Linked DNA regions of Oryctolagus cuniculus. The protein of the gene in region 1 interacts with the protein of each later gene in a biochemical or structural test. Links are inferred from orthologs where the notes say so. Each region holds a gene or a part of one and is shown in the gene's direction. Other genes may lie near its edges.

Region 1 (9,720 bases):
CCTCTCAATTCTGACTTCCCCACACAGAACTCCTCGGTCAAGCCGATGCGCATCTCTGTCCCAGGGAGGAATGCAGGAAAGGTCAGCAGATGTCTCCACAGGCGCCAAGGGGCCCGTCCCCACCCCAACCCGGATTCTCACCCGAGCCACTGGGCAGGAAGCTCTTGAGCCGGATCTCTCCCTGCACATCCACCTTCAACAGGGAGCCCTGAGAGTGGCAGGGAGGTTACTGCCCTGCGTCCCGACCCCCCAGCCCATTGCCCGGGCTCCGTCTGCCCGCAGCTCTGGGCTTAGAGCACCCAGACTCACATTAGATGCTATCAGTACAGATAATCTCTCAACCACGTCCAGGAAAACTTCATTCTTCTGGCTCTGAGGAAGAGAATGTGGGAGGCTGGTGGCTGACCAGCCCATGCCCTGGAACGCTTGGGCAGAAGGCACAGGGCAGTCAAAGGTGGGGACACACGGTCAGGGGTGGAAAGCCACGTTGGGGCTTTGGGTCTCTGGGACTGGATTCTGGGGCTCTGGGTCCTGGGAGAAAATTGGTTCGACCCCATGGATCTTTGCTTCACCTGGTCGGAGCGGCTGGACAGGACAGGGCGGCTGGCGGCACTGCTGGGAGCCACTTTGCTCTGTTGGGTCTCCGCACCGAACTGTGAAGCACCCAGAGCAATCAGCCCAGGGAACACTGGACACTCCCGGCCTGTCCTCCACCCACCCTCGGTCCTCGTCTTCCCCGACCTACCAAGCCAACACTGCTGAGGTCGAAGAGGCTGAAGGGCTTGCTGACCACAGCCTCTGTCTGGATGAAGTTCCTCAGCATCTCTGTGGACGTGGTCTGAACATAGCCATAGTCCTAGCGGTGGAGAAGAAAGGCGGGTGTTTGGGCCGCCTGCGGAGCCGGGAGAGGGATGGAAAAGGAGGCCTCCTGACCACGGCGTCCCGTGGTAGAAGACTGGATGTATGGGGAGTCTTCAGATTTATAGGAAATCAATATTGCGGGGTGGGGTGGGGTGGGGTGGGACGATGCGTGGGTTTCACAACCTTTGGCACTACGCGCATCCTTTAACGGCATTTGTTCGCGAAGTTTTGAGAAGTCCCTGGGTCTTACCAGCACCTCATCCAGGAGCTCATAGACCAGGGCCACGTTACGGGAGATGGTCGCCTCGCAGAGGGAGCCGCAGTAGTCGCCCAGGAGAGTGGCTACCCTGAGGAGGGAGGCAGGCAAGTGCGCCCCAGCCCAGTCCAGCCCTGCCCTGCCCTGCCCTGCCCTGCCCAGGCCAGCCCAGCCCAGCCCAGCCCAGCCCAGCCCAGCCCTGCCCTGCCCTGCCCTGCCCTGCCCGGCCCAGCCCTGCCCTGCCCAGACCGGCCCTGCCCTGCCCGGCCCGGCCCTCCTCACCGGGACAGCAGCTCGAGGAGGCTGAAGGGAGAAATATTTGCCCAAGTCGTGGCCACCAAGTAGAGGCCGCTGTGTCTGATGTGGATGAAATGCCGGCCATCGTGGTGCTGAGGCAGAGGCGGGGCGAGAGGCGCTGGGCTGTGGTGACCGAGGGCTCCCGAGGCCCACACCCGGCGACCCCGGACCCTCCCCACGCCCCCCAAAGCGGGGGCACCCGCCGGGTCCGCCGGCTCCCAGCCCCCGCCCGCCGCGAGCGGTTACCATGACAACCGGGGACTCGTCTCCCGGCAAGCCCGTCAGCTTCCGGTAGAAGAGCTCGGCCACATCCCGGCCGCCGCTGTCTCCACGGACTGGCCGGTGGGAGAGGACAGTTAAGGAGCCAGCGACACAGGCTGACCCTGGGCACGACTCCCACCCGACCCCGCCCGCGGGTGGTCAAGGATACAGTCCTTGTAGATGAGCGGGTCCCCCTTGGAGGACAGAATGAAGAACTGGGAAATCATGGCCGTTCGGGAGGGCAGATCAGAACACGGCGAAAGTTGGGTCTGTCCCGCCCTGCGGTCCCGGAACAGAAGGACGCGAGAGGGCTGGCCCTTTAAGAGCGCTTCCCCGCCGCTTAGGCCGAACCGGGACCGCGGGAAACCCGGCGCCGCCCCTCCTCGGCAGGCGGTTACCTCCCGGCCCCTCCACCGCCTCCCCGTCGCTCAACCCAGGCTCGCCCCATCATTGGGCAAAGCTGGAACCTCCCAATGAGAGGGAGGGGCGGAGAGCCGGCCTCTCCGATTGGCCCGCACGCCGCGGCGCGGGTCACGTGGGGGGCGACGTTTCGCGCCAATTTCGGTTGGTCCGCCACAGCCCGCCGCGCGGACGGTCTGTGCTTCCCGTGAGCAAGACTATCGAGCCCGCCAACTGCTGCCGCCTGGCCCTCGGCAGCGATGGCGCTTAAGGACTACGCGCTCGAGAAAGGCAAGGGCCTGCGGGTGTGGGAGGGGCGCGCCCTGCATTGGATGCCTTCCGGCTAACACCTGTTGGTGGAAGCCGGGGGGTGGTGGTCTCGGGAGCCGGGTCGGGGGCGATCCGCGAGGGCCGCGGCCAGGCTGAGGTGGACGGTGCCTGGGAGGCGCATGGGAGCATCGGGGTTGCAGAAACGCTGGCCATTGCCCGACTAGGGTGTTGGGGTTCGTGGGAGGGGGAGTAACTGCGGTGGCGCGCCCCAGGGGGGGTGGGTCGCGTCCGCGAGAGACCGGGTCTTGGGGGACCCTGTCTAGGGGCTTTAGCCTGCACGATGGCGACTCGCCCGGGGGCACCCCCTGGTTTCCCGCGCCCTCCGGAGCCCTGGCGCCGAAGTCGGGGGGGGGCGGGCCGGCCGGGGCCGCTGCGCGCTGCGATTGGCTGTTTCGGGCCGCCCTCCCGGCGGAAGTGGAGGCGGCGGAAGTGGCGGCCCGCGGGCGGAGGGAGTGTCGTGTGTAAACAGTGTCCTTCCGCGCGGTGGCCTCGGCGAGCGCGGCCGAGGCGGGGGGCGGGGGGGGCGTGCCCGGACCCCGAGCGGCCGGCGCGAGGCCGGGAGAGGCGGCCGTCGGGCGAGGCCGAGCGGCCCCCGGGGTGCTGGCCGGTCGCCGGACGGGCTCCCGCCGCGGGCGGAGGAATCCCCGAGCGGTGAGGCGGCTGGAATCGGGGCCCATGTGCTTCTTTGTTTACTAAGAGCGGAAGCGGTGGCGGGGAGCCCCGCGGGGACGCAGGGCCGGGGACCCGCGGGGAGAGCGGGATCGGCCGCGGGTGCTGCGGGGTGAGGGAAGCGGCTGGGGAGCGCGGAGACGGAGATTCCCCCGGGGGAGAGGGTTGGGTAGTAAGTTCTCGGCTGCCCGGGGGCCAGGCTTGCGAAGGGAGTTGTGTCCACCCCGGCAGGTCTGTCCCGAGGCTCCTGCCATTGGCTGATTTAGTCCTAATTTAGTTTCTAAGTGACCGCGGCTCCCTGGGGTTGCCGTCAGGGTTTGCAGGGTTGGCCCTTAGGGTTTCTCGTTTCCGTTGCAGAGAAGGTTAAGAAGTTTCTGCAGGAGTTTTACCAGGATGAAGAGTTGGGGAAGAAGAAGTTCAAGTATGGGGACCAGTTGGTAGGTGTAAGATGGGTTGAAGAACGTAAGGGGTGGGGTGGTCGCTCAAGAGGCCGCAGCAGGCACCCTGGCTCCTTTCAGTAAGTGCATTCCTGACACGTTCAAGGGAGACCCTGATACCTGCTAAGATTCTGTGCTCGAGTAATGAGGGCGTTTTTAGGAGTGGGCTTGGGAGCGGAGGTATTTCTCTGTTGTATGTACTCTCCTGTGGATGCCCAGACCTGGGCTCTGAGCTCGCGGCACTGGGCCCTTACAAGTGACCATGGTGAATTTGCCTTTGAGGTGTTGCTCTCTCCTCCCTTCCCCAGGTTCGCCTGGCTCATCGGGAACAAGTGGCAATGTACGTGGACCTGGATGACGTCGCCGAGGACGACCCTGAGCTGGTGGACTCCATTTGCGAGAACGCCAAGCGCTACGCGCGGCTCTTTGCTGACGCCGTGCAGGAGCTGCTGCCTCAGTACAAGGATCGGGAGGTGAGTGGCTGGAGCTGGTGCTGGGACGCTTCTCAGGCCCTGCTGGTGTCTGAGCTGACGGAAAGGGGGAGGGGGCGTTGGCTTTTATATCTGCCTCCTGTGTGCCTTTCCTTGTCTCTCATTTTTTTTTCTTTTTTTTGCTTTAGGTAGTAAATAAAGATGTCCTGGATGTTTACATTGAGCACCGGCTGATGATGGAGCAGCGGAGCCGGGACCCTGGAGCTGCCCGAAGCCCCCAGAACCAGTACCCTCCTGAGCTCATGCGCAGATTGTGAGTGGTCGCTGTGAGAGGGCGGTAGGCGTGTGTCCTCCTGGGCCTTGCTGATGACCGTCTTCCCCCCTTAGTGAGTTGTATTTTCAAGGCCCGAGCAGCAACAAACCTCGTGTGATCCGGGAAGTACGGGCCGACTCTGTGGGTAAATTGGTGACCGTGCGCGGAATCGTCACTCGTGTCTCTGAAGTCAAACCCAGGATGGTGGTGGCCACTTACACCTGTGACCAGTGTGGGGCAGAGACCTACCAGCCAGTACGTAACAGGGCAGTGCTTAACTGTTGTTTTCTGTAAAACTAATTTTACCTGCTGATGTGTGTATCTGTCATTCTGTGCTTACCGCCAAAGATAGCTATATTTTTTTCCCGTAAATAGTAGTCTATTTTGTTTTCTTGGCGTTTTTATCATTTACAGCCCAGATTAGCTGTAGGCATTCTTGATACTTGTCTGTTGTCTGCTGTGAAGAGAAAATGTGATTCAGGTAACTGAAGCTCATAAGGATCCTTCTTCTTCTGATTTCTTTTGGTGCCTCCCTTATCACATTCTAGATCCAGTCTCCCACTTTCATGCCTCTGATCATGTGCCCGAGCCAGGAATGCCAGACCAACCGCTCAGGCGGGCGGCTGTATCTGCAGACACGCGGCTCCAAGTTCATCAAGTTCCAGGAAATGAAAATGCAGGAACATGTGAGTTTGGGGTACGTGGCCCAGGCAGGTGGAGCAGGGAGTCCACTCAAGTCCTGCAGTCATTCCTGAAGGAGCAGAAAGCCCAGGAGAGGGAGGAGCTGGCACGGGGTCACATGGAGTGAGGGAGGTTTAACTGGGATTCTGAAGAGTGGGATGCCTCCGGGGGGAAGGCTAGGTCCTTGTGGGCTTGGGTCCCTGTCTGCTGGCTTTCAGACTCTCTCTTCTCCAGAGCGACCAAGTGCCTGTGGGAAATATCCCACGGAGCATCACAGTGCTGGTGGAAGGGGAGAACACAAGGATTGCCCAGCCTGGAGACCACGTCAGTGTCACGGGCATCTTCCTGCCACTCCTGCGCACTGGGTTCCATCAGGTGGTCCAGGTAAGAAAGAGTTGGAAATGAGGGGGAAATAGTCCCCCTTCCCCTGACTGGACCTCAGAGGGAACAACAGAAAAACAAACAAGCAGACAAACAGAACAAAGGGTTGTGTGAAGCAGTCATTAGGGGAGTGATCATGGCCAAGTTAAAGGGATTTCATTCCCGCTTTTTCCTGCCCAAGGGTTTACTCTCGGAGACGTACCTAGAGGCCCATCGAATCGTGAAGATGAACAAGAGTGAGGATGACGAGGCTGGGGCTGGGGAGCTGAGCAGGGAGGAGCTGAGGCAGATTGCAGGTGAGGGGCCAGGAAGGGTGGGCGCTTGCCTGGTCCTGGCCCCTTTCCCCGACCAAAGAGCCCGACCTTCCCGTTCCGCAGAGGAGGATTTCTATGAAAAGCTGGCAGCGTCTATCGCCCCAGAGATTTACGGGCACGAAGATGTCAAGAAGGCACTGTTGCTTCTGCTGGTGGGAGGTGTGGACCAGTCTCCTCGAGGAATGAAGATCAGGGGTGAGGAAGGGAGGGAGGGCAGGGCAGGGCAGGGTGGATGGAGTCATGGGGGTTGGACCTCAAGCGTGTTTCTGGACAACCTGCAGTGGGAGAAGTCACTCGGGCTGCCTTTCCTTCCAGGCAACATCAACATCTGCCTGATGGGGGACCCCGGGGTGGCCAAGTCGCAGCTCCTGTCTTACATCGACCGCCTGGCCCCCCGCAGTGAGTATCCAGCCCTGGGGAGGCAGAGAGGACCGCAGTACTCCAGAGGCAGGAGGAGGTGGAAGGAGCGGGTCTGGGAAAGGTGGTGGCAAGACCAGGGAGGTGAGAGTGGAGGAATCCAGTGCAGGTCTCGTCTCACTGCCCTGTTTCTTGGGTGCTTGGCCTTTTCCCATGCTCCCTGCTCGTTCTCACGTGCACGCTTGCTTCTCTTTGTCCAGGCCAGTACACAACAGGCCGCGGCTCTTCGGGAGTGGGGCTCACGGCAGCCGTGCTGCGAGACTCTGTGAGCGGGGAGCTGACCCTAGAGGGCGGGGCCCTCGTGCTGGCCGACCAGGGCGTGTGCTGCATCGATGAGTTTGACAAGATGGCGGAGGCCGACCGCACGGCCATCCACGAGGTCATGGAGCAGCAGACCATCTCCATCGCCAAGGCGGGCATCCTCACCACACTCAACGCCCGCTGCTCCATCCTGGCTGCTGCCAACCCTGCCTACGGGCGCTACAACCCCCGCCGCAGTCTGGAGCAGAACATCCAGCTCCCCGCTGCGCTGCTCTCCCGATTCGATCTTCTCTGGCTGATCCAGGACCGGCCCGACCGAGACAACGACCTCCGGTTAGTGGAGCAGCATGGCCAGGGAGTGGGGTTCTGGAGGGAGGGCGGGAACCCCGGAAAATGGCTCGGCACAGCAGGGGTTGCTAGGCAGTTCTTAGAGGGCCCCTGCCCAAGTGCTGCTGAGGGCTTCCTGGAGAGTTTGTTCTTCCATCTGTGAGGCAGCCACAGAGCCAAGAGGAATATTTAAAGCAGGACGTGGGGTGTGGCGCTCTAAAGAGCCTGCCTTCTTAACTCTTCCCAGGTTGGCCCAGCACATCACCTATGTGCACCAGCACAGCCGGCAGCCCCCCGCCCAATTCGAACCTTTGGACATGAAGCTTATGAGGTAAGAGGCTGCTGGGGGGGGGACAGGTGTACTTCAGGCAAGTGTGCAGCCTGTGACAGCGTCGTGGCTGTGTGGCTCCTGAAAGGCTTTCACAGAGCGGGTGGGTTGGCTTTTTAATACTCTGCCCACCCTCTCCCTGCTACCCGCTTCTGCCACGTGCCAGGCGTAAGAACACCCAGTCTGGGTTCCCCGAACCTGGCTAGCCAAGGACCGCATGTCTTTAGAATCTGCCTTTCTCGCCACCCCCACCATGGTCCTGCCTGCGGGGGTGGGCACAGCGTTCAGGCTGCGCTGGATCGCCCTCCAGCTCTTCTCCATGGCCCCAGTGTTCCCGGTGTGTGCTCAGGGTCTTGCTGTGCGCTCTATCTACTGAAATAGTATGTTTCTAGTCCCTTTAGCCACATCATGTTTACAAGAGGGTGGGTGATCTTTTGTGACAGTTGGATTTGTCTTAATTTCACAGAGGTCACTTTCCTGAAAAGTTGAAAATCATCTGAAACATGATGTGGAAATCCCTCAGCGATACTGGAGTCAAACACAGAGTCACCCACTCGTTTTTCTGCTTAAAAGTCCTTACTTCTGAGAGTTTTCTCATTAAATGGAGGAACCATTAGGCAGAAAACACCATGCCCATGTGTGTACCCCATTCCCCCTCTTCATGTTCTGCTTTCCCATGAACCTTTTCTCCCACAGACGCTACATAGCCATGTGCCGTGAGAAGCAGCCCACAGTGCCAGAGTCCCTGGCAGACTACATCACAGCAGCATACGTGGAGATGAGGCGAGAGGCCTGGGCCAGTAAGGATGCCACATACACTTCCGCCCGGACACTGCTGGCCATTCTCCGACTTTCCACTGCTCTGGTGAGTGCCTGGTTCCCCGTACTGCTGGAGGGTGTCCGTTTCCATCCCTACTGGCAATGAACCCTCACTTGGTCCTCTCGCTGCCGCCTCCTCCCACACCCGCCCTGCTGGGGCTAAAGTGCTGACAGTGCAGATAGTGGTCCTGTCCGTGCTACCGCACTGTGGGTACTTGCTGCTCCAGCAGGGCACGCACGTCCACGGAAGGAGAGGCCTTCTCTCCCCACTTCTGCAGCCTCACTGAAGCGGGGGAGGGTCCCTCTCTCTCCCCACCTCCTTGATCCTGTGCTATAAGCTTCCTTTCTGTCCTCACATCTCGGACCGTAGTCCCGGGGGCTCCAAAGTGCTGTTCGTGCAGGTAGTGTGATTACCTGACCTACTGCTGAGCTAGCACTTCCCGAGCCCCTGGGACACAGCCTCTCTGCCAACCGCCTGCTAGGCTGAGCTCCCCAGGCTGCATCTGTCGTGGTGGGGAGCCCACTGGAGTTCGGAAGGGTCTGGTCTCCCTCACAGGACAGCTGAACACCGGGACTGGCCAGTGTTGAGAGGCGGAGACTTGGGCAATTGCTGGACGCTGCCCTGGGCATTGCACTTGTCTCGGTCTGACAGTGCCGGCCCTACACTGCGGATGTGGGGGAGCAGGGGAGGGGTCCCTGCTCCTTTTGCGAGCAGACGGCACATAGGTTGTCCAGCCTTAAAGCTGGAACCAAGGGGGTTTCTCTGACTTTATTCCATTCTCCTCCTGTCCCCCTCTCTCCCCTACTTTCCCCTTAGGCACGTCTGAGAATGGTGGACACAGTGGAGAAGGAAGATGTGAATGAAGCCATAAGGCTCATGGAGATGTCCAAGGACTCACTTCTGGGCGACAAGGGGCAGACAGCCAGGTGAGTGGTTTAATGATGAGATTGGGTCACCTTGACCGTTGCAGGCTTCAGCATCCAGATGCATGAGCTGACCACTCTCCGTTGTCACTGTCAAGTGTCCTGGCTTGTGCCCTGATTCCATACCCTCGTGTTTCCTTCAGGACACAGAGGCCAGCAGATGTGATATTTGCCACTGTCCGCGAGTTGGTCTCGGGGGCCCGGAGCGTCCGGTTTTCTGAGGCAGAGCAGCGCTGCATATCCCGTGGCTTCACACCTGCCCAATTCCAAGCAGCTCTGGACGAGTATGAGGAGTTGAATGTCTGGCAGGTCAATGCTTCCCGGACACGGATCACTTTTGTCTGATTCCAACCTGCTTGAGACCTTGGGGACCCACTGTGCTCGCCGCTCACCTGCTGCCTTTGCAGGTGTAACCCAGCTCCGGAGGGGTGGGAGGAGCCCCTCTTCCTGTGCTGCACTTGCTTGTTTTGCTACTTTTGTTAATATAATAAAGTGTGTAGATTGCTGCCTTGTACCTTGGTCCTGACTTCTGTTAAACAGGTGTTATGGGGCTTTAAGAGTCCTCTCTCCTTCCCCTTTATGCTGGCCCTACCCCATCTCTGAGCTTTCTGAGAAAGTACCTTCGCTACCCACCAGCCACCACGAGATGCTGGGGAGGCAGTGAGGAGCAAGTTCCTATTTAACCTCAGCACCAGTGAGAACCATAGGCAAGACAGCGGTTCCCTTTCCTATTTCTTGAGGTGTATCCATCACAACAGCTCAGATAGCTCGATCCCCAGCTTCTGTAAAGCCCCTTCAAGGGGGCTGAGGAAAAGACCAGGAGTGGCATGCAGTGGTGTTACCAGGCACAGGTAAATCCCCGCTTTCTGGCCTTTCCCAAGTGAGTGCCAATAGCACCACTGTCAACAGGCAGGGGTGAGGCACTGGGTCAGTGCAGTAACCCAGGGGAAACCACTCCCTCTAATTCTCAGCACCCACAGGAGCCAGGCTTTTGAAATGTCCCTAATAAAAATG
Region 2 (10,963 bases), on another chromosome or scaffold:
TAAATAAAATAAAATAAAATGGCATGTCCCATATTGAAGTACCTAGGTCACAATCCTGTTTCTGCTCCTTATTCCAGTTTCCTGCTGGTGTGTACCCTGGGATGCCTCAGAAGATGGCTTAAATAGTTGGATCCCTACTACCCAAGTGGGAGACTTGGATTGACTTCCAGGTTCCTGGGCAGTGGATGGGAGTCACTTTGTGTGAAGTTAGCCAGTGGATGGGAGTTCACTTTGTGTGTGTATCTATCTCTCAAATAAGTTCAAATAAGTAAAGTTAACAAAAATATGGACATGGGAGATTTCATTCAAAAATTATTCTATCAGTGGCTCCAGTATGCCAGCACTATTTTAGATGCTGGGAATGTAACAGTAAGATATAGTCTGCTCATGGAATCTCAGCCTAGGAGGAATGTCAAACAATTTAATACATACTTTACAATAGAGCATTGTTAGTATGTTAGCAAAAATATATAGAAATTGCTATTAAAAGAGGAAAATTATAACACTGCCATAGAGATAAAATTTGAGCTGAGTCTTTAAGACTTAATGGGAATGCACCAAGCAGAGTGGACATTTTAATAGAGGAAAGGGCATATTTAAAATAGATGTCAAAGTGGTTTTTTTTCCTAACTATTAATGTTGCATTGTGACTTGAGCTTGGAATTTAGATGGGGTGAATGGCAAAAAACAAAATTGTATTAGAGTTGTAAAAAGCATTTTACTCAGTTCTAAGGAGTTTAAGTTTGCAGAAATCCAAAGGAACTGTGTGATACTATTTGGCAATGATTTCTTGGATATGATAGCTAAATTATAGGCAACTAATGAAAAAATGGGAAAATTGGGCTTTATCAAATTTAGGAAGTTTGGTGCCTCAAGAACATTATCAAAGAGTTATGACAAGTGGCACCGGCATCCCATATGGGCGCTGGGTTCTAGTCCTGGTTGCTCCTCTTCCAGTCCAGCTCTCTGCTGTGGCCTGGGAGGGCAGTGGAGGATGGCCCAGATGCTTGGGCCCCTGCACCCACATGGGAGACCAGGGAGAAGCACCTGGCTCCTGGCTTCAGATTGGCACAGAGTCAGCCGTAGCGGCCATTTGGGGAGTGAACCAATGGAAGGAAGACCTTTCTCTCTGTCTCTCTCTCTCTCTTTCACTGTCTATAAATCTACCTGTCAAATAAAAAAAAAAGAAGTTATGACAACCCACAGACTGATAGGAACTATTTGCAAATCATATATATATATAAGAGATTGACATCCTGACTATACAAAGAGCTTTTCCAACTCAATAGTAAAAAATAACTCAATTAAAAATTAGGCAACGGACTTGTAAAGACATTTACTCCAAGAAGATACCTCATGGCTGTTAAGTACATGAAATGATGCTCAACATTTCTAGGCATCAGAGAAATGCAAATAAAAATCACAGTGAGTTGCCACTTCATGCTCATTAGGATGGCTACTGTCAATGAATCAGGGAGCTGGCACTGTCGTGTGCTGGCATACCCTATGGGCGCTGGTTCAAGTCCTGGCCGCTCCACTTCTAATCCATCTCCTTGTTCATGTCCAAAGAAGATAGCAGAAGATGGGCCCAGGTGCTTGGGCACTTGCACCCAAGTGGGAGACCCAGAGGAAGTTCTTGGCTCCTGGTTTTGGGCTGGCTGAGCCTGGGCTGTTGTGGTCATTTGGGGAGTGAGCCAATGGATGGAAGATCTCTCTCTCTCTTTCTCCTTCTCTCTATCTCTGCCTTTCAGATAAATATTTAAAAAAAAATCAGAAGATGACAAGTGTGGAGAAATGAAACCTTTGTCCACTCTTAGTGGGAATGTTAAATGATGCAGCCACTATGTGAAACACCATGGGTAGTTTCTGAAAAAATATTTTATACTATGTATGATCCTGCAGTTTTACTTATGAGTATATGTGTCCAAAATAAGTTCTGGAAGAGAGATTTATTATATCCATGTTCATGGCAGCAGTATTATTCACAGATACTGTTCTTCAGCCATAACATCCAACAGGTGAATTGATAAACAGAACATTGTATATACTTGCAATGGAGCGTTAACTCAGGTTTCAAAGGAATGAAACTGAAACTTGCTACAACATGAATGAACCTAAAAAATGTTGTATTAAGTGAAAGAAGCCAGTCATAAAAGGATGAATACAAGACTCCACTTAATATGATTGTGTTAGTCCATTTTCTGTGTAACAGACTGAGGATAAAGTTTTATTTGGCTCAAAGTTCTAAGTCAGGTGGCCATATCTGGTAAGGTCCTCAGTGGTGGAAACCTTCTGCAAAGTCCCATGACAGGGAGAACATTACATAGTGAAACTTTTCTGTTTCTTTTAAAGTCCTAGTCCCATTGGATTAGAGTGCCGCCCTTTTGGCCTCATTTAACCTTTAATTACCTACCAAAGGTCCCACTTCCAAATGCTGTAGATTAAGTTTTCACCTTCTTAAGACCACACAATGAGTATTAAATTCCAATGTGGGTTTTGTTGAGGACCTTGATGGCAATGAGATACCTAGAAGAGCCACATTCATACAGGCAGAAGATAGAATAGAGGCTACCATGAGCTGGGGGTAGGGGTGGGAGTGGGGGTGAGGAGAATGTGTACTTGTTTAACTGGGTACAGATTTTTCACTTTGGGATTATGAAAAACGTTCTAGAAATCTTGATAGCAGTGATAGTTGCATAACATTATGAAAGTATTGTCACTGACTTCTATGCTTGAGAATGGTTAAAATGGGGCAGGCAGTGTGGCACAGTGGGGTAATAAGCTGCTTCTTGGGATACCTTCTTTCCATATCAGAGCTCCAGTTGGAGTCCTGACTGCTCTGCTTCTAATGCAGCTTCCTGGTAATGTGTGCTGGAAGACTGCAGGTGATGACTCAAGGACTTGACTTCCTACTACCCACGGGGGAGACAGCTGGAGTTTCTGGCTCCTGATTTTGGCCTTGCCCAGCCCTGGCTATTGTGGGCATTTGAGTAGTAAACCAGTGATGGAAGAGCTCTCTCTGTCTCGCTACCTTTCAAATAAATAAAAATAAACATTTTTAAATGGTTGAAATGGTAAAAGTTTTCAGGTCTATTTTATCACAAAATATGTAGGAGAGGCTTCTCTTAAAATTAGAACCTCCGTCTTTGCTAGGGTATCTTTTATGAAAATGAAGACAGTGTTTAATGTGTAAATTGTTCCTTTAAGTTCCTTTCTGGCTGTGGCAGGCAACTGAATATTTAATCCCTGAAATAAATAAATGTGGGTACTTTATTTATTAGCCAACAGAAATACTCAAAAAAAATTGATTTACATGTTACCAAAGAAGGCTTTCTGGGTCTCAGTAGCAAATTCTGCATACTTAGATAAAATTATCCAATTCAGAAGTCTTTTTTTCCATACAAATAGGGATTAATAATTTATTTCTACTTAGTGTACTTACTGTTCATTTAATATTTATTTGTGCAATGTATATATTTTAGTAATACTAGTATTTTTCTATTTAGTGTTTACTTCTGCTTAATTTTCCTGCCCCAGGATGTGAGTGATCTTCAGTAACATTGACTTTGGTTTATGTGCTTATAATATTCAGGCATTTAAGCAGTGATTTTCAAACATTTTAGTAGGCAGATTCTCGTTTAACAATCTTACACTCTTAAGGTAAAGATTTTCTCTTTCTTGTAAGTTTAAGCCTTGGGGGAAAGTGTTACAACTTAATGATTTAGCTTCAAATAAAATTTAAAATCCAATGGCCCAGTCATACTGAAAACTTTTCAAGTGCTTAGTCACCATATGTGGCAAGTGGCTGCTGTATTGGCTAGTGCAGAAAACTCTTTTCGTCATTGAGGAAATTTTACTGGACTCTGCTGCCCTTTTTTTTTTTTTTTTTGACAGGCAGAGTGGACAGTGAGAGAAACAGAAAGAAAGGTCTTCTTTTTGCCGTTGGTTCACCTTCCAGTGGCCACTGCAGCCGGCACACTGCGCCGATCCGAAGGCAGGAACCAGGTGCTTCTCCTGGTCTCCCATGCAGGTGCAGGGCCCAAAGACTTGGGCCATCCTCCACTGCACTCCAGGGCCACAGCTGAGAGCTGGCCTGGAAGAGGGGCAACCGGGACAGAATCCGGCACCCCGACCGGGACTAGAACTCGGTGTGCGGAGGATTAGCCTATTGAGCTGTGGCACCGGCCAGACTCTGCTGCTTTAGATCATGGGCTTTCACTATTGGTATAATCTCAAGTAAGCCATTTCTTTTTTGTTGTCTTCTCAAAAAGATGGATAATATTAATACTATGGGGTTGTTACATGGATTACAACACATACTGTTGTGTTATTGAAAGTCTGATTACATTTCCTTAGAATTCCAGGTTCAGCATTAAAAACATTAATTTTTAAGACAGTAAATTGCATCAAATTGGGGTTTTACTATGTGCCTAGTGTATGAAACAATTGGTTTTTATGACATGCAAATGTTTTGTTTTCCTCTAGCGAGTTGAAGAATTTCTTAGCAAAGATATCAGTTATCTTATTTCAAATAAAAAGGAAGCTAAATTTGCTCAAACTTTGGGCCGAATATCTCCTGTACCAAGTCCAGAATCTGCATATACTGCAGAAACCACTTCTCCTCATCCCAGCCATGATGGAAGTTCATTTAAGTCTCCAGACACAGTAAGTCTCAAATATGCTTTGAAAGGCTGTCACCTATCAATACCAGACTGGCAACAGAGTTTATATAGATAGAGCAGTTATAAAGCCACAAGACTTTCTGATTGTCTTTGGGAAAGGTGATTTAAAAAAAAAAAAAATAGTGCTTGTGTATTTGTACCCTGATTTTTTTTTTTTTTTTTTTTTTGACAGGTAGAGTTATAGACAGTGAGAGACAGAGAAAGGTCTTCCTTCCGTTGGTTCACTCCCCAAATGGCCGCTACAGCCAGCGCTGCACCAATCCAGAGCCAGGTGCTTCTCCCTGGTCTCCCACGCGGGTGCAGGGATCCAAACACCTGAGCCATCCTCCACTGCCCTCCCAGGCCAAAGCAGAGAGCTGGACTGGAAGAGGAGCAGCCGGGACTAGAACCCAGTGCCCATATGGGATGCCGGCGCGTGGGCAGAGGATTAACCAAGTGAGCCATGGCACCAGCCCTGTACCCTGATTCTTAACATATACCTTGCATTTAAGGATGAATTATATTTTTTAGAGTAATCTACAACTAAAAGTTTAATAGCGCATCGTTCTTTTAAAGAATTATTATATATTATTTGTTGTGGTTTTCATGCTTTAGAAAGAATAGAATAATTGTTAGAAACTATATCATCTGTAAGACATAAAATCTGTATTATCTGACCCTTTGCATAAAAAGGGTACCAGCCTGTTTTAGAGTTTCTAACATGACATCCCAGCTATTCCACTGCCAAGAAGATACAGGGGTGGATAGAATACGATGGTTTAATAAAGTGTGGGAAGGGGAACAGGTTGAGAGATAAAATGTTAGGTTTATCTCATTTTTTTTTATATTGAAACATATTTAAATTCTCATTTTAAAAAATCCTCAATTGGGGTAACATTGTGGTGCAGCAGGTTAAACCACTACCTGTTATGCTACCATCCCATGTGAAATCTGGTTCAAGTCCTGGCTGCTCTGCTTTTGATCCAGCTCTCTGCTAGTGTGCCTGGGAAAGCAGTGGAATATGAGATAAACCTAACATTTTATATCTCGACCTTTTCCCTTCCCCACACTCTATTAAATCACCTTATTCTGTCCTTCCCTGTATCTTCTGATCCAGCTCTCTGCTAAAGCACCTGAGAAAGCAGTGGAATATAGCCTGAGTGTTTGGGCCCCTGCAAGCCCCATAGGAAACCCAGGAGTTCAAGGCTCCCAGCTTTGGCCTGGCTCAGCCCTGGCCCTTGCGACTGTTTAGGGGGTGAACCAGTGGATGGAAAAAGCTCACTCTTTGTATGTCTCTCCCTCTCTCTCTAATTCTGCATTTCAAATAAACCTTAAAAACCCTGTGGTCTAGTAGGTAAAGCCACTGTCTGCAGTGCCGGCATCCCATATGGGCCCTGGTTCAACTCCCAGCTGCTCCACTTCTGTTCCAGCTTCCTGCTAATTCGCCTGGGAAGGCAGTGGAGAATGGCCCAGGTCTTTGGGCCCCTGCACCTATGTGGGAAATCCAGAAGAAGCTCCTGGCTCCTGGCTTTGAACTAGCTCTACTCCGGCCATTGCTGCCATTTGGGGAATGAATCAATAAATGGAAGATCTCTCTCGATCTCTCTCTCTCTCTCTCGCTCTCTCTAACTCTGCCTTTCAAATAAATCTAAAGTAGGAAAATAAACCCTCATCTACTGTACCAATTTGAAAAGCAGAGAAAAGGAGAAGAAAACAGGCAGGAAAAATGACCTACAGAAGAAATTATAAAACATGATTCACAGAAGGAAAAAAAAATCAAAAGAAGAAACCAAGGAAGACTCATGCATGAATTTTTGGAGCAAGGAGACAGTACACAAGTGGTTTATTCCAAATTGATGTTCATTGCATTTCAACTGCTTTTCCTAGTATTTTATTTAAAAAATGAAATAACATGTAAAAACAATATATAAAATTATTTTTCTTAAATCTTCAATTAAATAGTAAACTAAAATATAAATCAACTAATTATGTAAAATTCTGGTGTGGCCTGGCTATTTTTCAAAACTGATCTGTTAGGTCTCTTTCAGTTGAATTGCTCAATCCAAAAAAACTTTTTAAATCTGAGATCTTGCCAAGGCCATGAAGAAATCACTTTTCACTGTATATGTATTGTATTGATAGCTATTAAGACTTTTACAAATAAAACATTACTTTAGCTATTTTACCTTTGTAACCTTTCTTCTACACTGAAACATTAGGTTATAACTTCATTTTTCTGGTCCTTTTATAGGTGTGTTTAAGCAGAGGAAAATTATTGGTTGAAAAAGCTATCAAGGACCATGTAAGTAAGAACTTTAAAAGTTCACACTGTACATTTTGTTATTAAAACTCATAGTGTATATTCTTGAAGCATTCTTTTCCTCATTTTTAATAGAAGAAACATGCATTTCAACCTGTATCTCATTTTACAATGTCCTTTTCATGAAGAAACATCCCCATCTTGTGGCCTTTTAAAATATTACTGGAAACTTGAAATTTGTCTTACAAATATGCATTAAATTGTTAAAAATGTGAGAATGTATTTTTAGTGGGATTGATTTTAGAAGTGTCAAAAGTAAGAACTTAATATCCTCTTTACTTTTGTGAAGTTGGTCTGTTATGAATTACCATCTCAGAGATAGTATGCTTCAAATAACTGATTTTTTTAACAGTTTAGCTCTCTTTAAAATAATAATTTCTTAGAAAAATTATCAAATTTTTTTTACAGGATTTTATTCCTTCAAATAGTATATTATCAAATGCCTTATCATGGGGAGTAAAGATTCTTCATATTGATGGTAAGGATTTTATAATTGTCTTTGGACAGTATTTGTTAACTCATTCTACCCCTCAGTTCCTGACATTACATAGTCAAAACTTTGATAGCAAGAGATATTTGTAATGGCAATTCATTCATCTCAATCTATTACAATTATGAAAAAACAAAACAGTGTTTTAACTCCAAGGCTAAAGTTGCTAATCTCAAATCTTTCTCTTTTTTTTTTTTTTTAATAAAGACATTAGATACTACATTGACCAAAAGAAAAAGGAGTTGTATTTATTCAAGAAATCAAGTGTTTCTGTAAAAGATGTGGTATGTTGTCTTCTTTAATTTTAAAAGTAATCAAGTTTGATTTTTTTATGTATGTATCTATAAATTTTTCTTGCCATACAAAGTATTATTGCCAGGATATACTAGGTATGATTTTGTGTTTTAATGTTTCTATTGTTCAAAAAACAGTTGCATGTCATTTATCTTGAGGATTATACTCAAGAGGTGAAAGTTGTTTTGGGATAATAGCATGGGCTTCTTTTTGTCTTTTTCATTTTTGGTTACTGCAGTTTTTAACAGATACTTCTGTTTATAGGAAAACACTGAAATTACCTTATTGCATTAGAAGATACTACTAATTCAAGTAATGTGCTGTTTTTTGGAATATATATCGGAAGTGTATTTCCTTTCAACTGCTCTGTTTGTTAATGTAACGTAGCCTTGCTGCACACACACATGCACATGCATACGTATATACACTTCACCACCACCCCTACCCCCACCACCCATAAGATAAGACTTGCTGTCCTAACTGTGAAATGTTTGTTACCCACACTGGGCAATGTGCTGCATTAGACCTGATGTTACCATATCTTCAATTTCTGCTTTTTCTCCTGGTTTCTTCTTTGAACCCGCTATACAAATCCAAGCATTTCCATTCTGTAAAACAAATAGAAAAAAACCTCCCTTAATTTCAATCCCTACCTAACTACATCTAATTTTTGTAATTCCTTTTATCCAAACTTCTTGTATCTCTCCTTTTATGCTTCTCACCTTTCAACCTACAAAGCATGAAACTCCTGATATATTTGCTATTCAATTTATATAAAACAAAGAGCCATCAGAGAGGTGGGATACCTAATTTGCTTTACAGTAAACCGGGAGCTCAGAAGGAGCTTGGACTCCAGGTCAGTTCCATTTCCAGCGACCCAACTCTTGGCTGGCAGAGGTGCCAGGACTCTCTGAAGGCTGACTTCTGTATCCATCTGAAGCCCTGGCTTTCCACATTGAAAACCAATGCCATTTGCGGTGCTGTGGCCTGTTGGGACTCCTTGATGGCAGATCACTGTGTAAAGCAGCCATTAATTGGCCTGTCACCTATCTTTCCATGGCTACCACTGCCCAGCTTGCTCCTTTTTTCTCCTGGTTTCTGGTAAAGGAGACCATGGAGGCAGTCTTTAAGAGGATGCAAGTCAAGGGGGTGCTCAATCCTATTCCTAATCTTTGGTGGCCTAAGCTAGAAATCTATAGTCATAGGTATGTTCTGATAGTGATTTTTCTGTGAGGTATCAATGCCCATGAAGAACGCTATGTCCTCACTTTGACATCAAACATGATGACCCCCTCATAAAATTTGAAGTCATTAGTGAAACTTTCTCTCCCTTCATTTGGTCTGAAAGGGAGATTTTTTACTGTGCCCATGGCAAAGTAAATCTAGCTGTGAAATCATAATTGAAGCTCTTATTTTGGCTTTGCTATTACAGAAAACTGTTAGCCATCCCTTTTATAAAGTCTAAAGATCAAACTGTACATCCTGGAGAGTCTTTCAGTATAGAGTCAGTTTCCCATCTTGAAGAGAATAGAGAAATGAGGGAACAAGTCAGCCTTCTCAGATCACTTATTGTCAATAACTTAATATCAAATGAAAACTTAGCAAGCAATTTTAACTGTTAAATAACAATTTATGAAAACATTTACCAAAGGTCCAGTGCCCTCTATAAATTTCAAGACAAGAGAACATGTATTTGGAAACATCGCTTAAATATCTAACACAAGTGTTAACTTGTTTGACCAGCAAACCCAAGTACAAACACTTTTAGTTTCTTTCTGCCAACAAATTTAAAACATCTGATACAGAGATTTATTTAGATCATGTGAACCAAAAACATTAATCTTTGATTAACTTAGCAGCTCAAATTTACGAGCAATCTATAATCCTATTAAAACAGAGCTCTTAATGAATTTTCCCATGTGGACATATAATATGTACACATGTATAACATAAAAGATAGAAGAGTAAAGCAGTTTCAATAAGTTTTTTAAAATCTTTAGCTTTTTTTTTTAATTACCATCAATCAGTTACAATTACTTCCTGTTCTTAGTAACCTAAATTAACCATACTTTATCTCTGTTGGAACCTGTAATCCATTATTGGCATTATGTGCTTAGAGAACTGTCCCAAAGTATTGAATACAACAGAGGTCAGAGAAAAAGAACTCCTTTGGAACCTAAGAGAGGACACATTCGACATAGAACCAACAATGTTTTAACCTCATTAATAGAAATCTAATTTTTTAGTGTTTAGAGAATACAGAGCTGTGGATGACAAAAGACTTTAAATAACAGTGTTTAAAATTATAAACTCATTAACTAACAGGAGGCTCTTGATTACTGCATATAGTATTTTTGAAAGCACCTGCAGGATTTTATTTTATTTTATTTTATTTTATTTTATTTTATTTTATTTTTTGATAGGCAGAGTGAACAGTGAGAGACAGAGAGAAAGGTCTTTGTTTTGCCATTGGTTCACCCTCCAATGGCTGCTGCAGCCGGCGCGCTGCGGCCGGTGCATCACACTGATCCAAAGCCAGGAGCCAGGTGCTTCTCCTGGGCTCCCTTGCGGATGCAGGGCCCAAGGTCTTGGGCCATCCTCCACTGCACTCCCGGGCCATAGCAGAGGGCTGGACTGGAAGAGGAGCAACTGAGACAGAATCCGGTGCCCCGACCAGGACTAGAACCCGGTGTGCTGGCGCCACAGGCGGAGGATTAGCTTATTAAGCTGCGGCACCGGCCACCTGTAGGATTTTATAAAACATTTAACCCCTTTAGGCCTCTGGGCCTTTCTCATTAAGGTAACTGTCATTCTGATAACAACACAACATCTTTAGATTTTGGTAACTTGGACATTTGTATCAGTAGCGTTTTACATTATCATAACCTAAAATTTAGCACCATTCACATCTTGACACTACCTTTAATATAATCCAAATAGCTTTATTGGTTGCTGTCTCTGCAAGATGAGACAGAAATCCTTTTTATATTTCCAAGGGCCCAACTGGAAATATCAAATCCAAGAAATTTGGAACTTTGATTTTTTGAATGGCTGTCAAAGGTGCCAAGAAGGTATAAAATATCTGGTTGAAACAGGATTCCTTAACATCATGACATAATGAAGACCATATTTGATCATTGTTACAAAGTGATTACTCATGCTTTAGAATGAAGATATAATCAAACAAACCATAACTTT

The links.
Region 2: of the proteins of MCM7 (region 1) and DBF4, one has a biochemical effect on the other in vitro, tested with the Homo sapiens proteins (2 studies listed by BioGRID). The link is inferred for Oryctolagus cuniculus from reciprocal best matches to the Homo sapiens genes MCM7 and DBF4.

The regions. Positions count from the first base shown.
Region 1 is NC_091450.1:42,362,448-42,372,167, reverse strand, and holds MCM7 (DNA replication licensing factor MCM7), read left to right. Parts: upstream 1-2,206; 5' UTR 2,207-2,334; coding exon 2,335-2,365; intron 2,366-2,921; exon of another isoform or gene 2,922-3,055; intron 3,056-3,059; exon of another isoform or gene 3,060-3,185; intron 3,186-3,430; coding exon 3,431-3,510; intron 3,511-3,818; coding exon 3,819-3,983; intron 3,984-4,129; coding exon 4,130-4,254; intron 4,255-4,328; coding exon 4,329-4,509; intron 4,510-4,802; coding exon 4,803-4,940; intron 4,941-5,169; coding exon 5,170-5,319; intron 5,320-5,497; coding exon 5,498-5,612; intron 5,613-5,693; coding exon 5,694-5,825; intron 5,826-5,945; coding exon 5,946-6,029; intron 6,030-6,247; coding exon 6,248-6,641; intron 6,642-6,882; coding exon 6,883-6,966; intron 6,967-7,659; coding exon 7,660-7,828; intron 7,829-7,942; exon of another isoform or gene 7,943-8,003; intron 8,004-8,164; exon of another isoform or gene 8,165-8,226; intron 8,227-8,371; exon of another isoform or gene 8,372-8,431; intron 8,432-8,599; coding exon 8,600-8,709; intron 8,710-8,849; and 3 more. Other genes in the region: AP4M1 (AP-4 complex subunit mu-1), read right to left, coding at 2-55, 142-208, 310-372, 573-653, 746-856, 1,112-1,208, 1,400-1,506, 1,661-1,749 and 1 more. UniProt on the Homo sapiens protein: Acts as a component of the MCM2-7 complex (MCM complex) which is the replicative helicase essential for 'once per cell cycle' DNA replication initiation and elongation in eukaryotic cells.
Region 2 is NC_091447.1:47,462,212-47,473,174, reverse strand, and holds part of DBF4 (protein DBF4 homolog A), read left to right. Parts: intron 1-4,485; coding exon 4,486-4,665; intron 4,666-6,912; coding exon 6,913-6,963; intron 6,964-7,389; coding exon 7,390-7,459; intron 7,460-7,678; coding exon 7,679-7,755; intron 7,756-10,963. UniProt on the Homo sapiens protein: Regulatory subunit for CDC7 which activates its kinase activity thereby playing a central role in DNA replication and cell proliferation. Required for progression of S phase.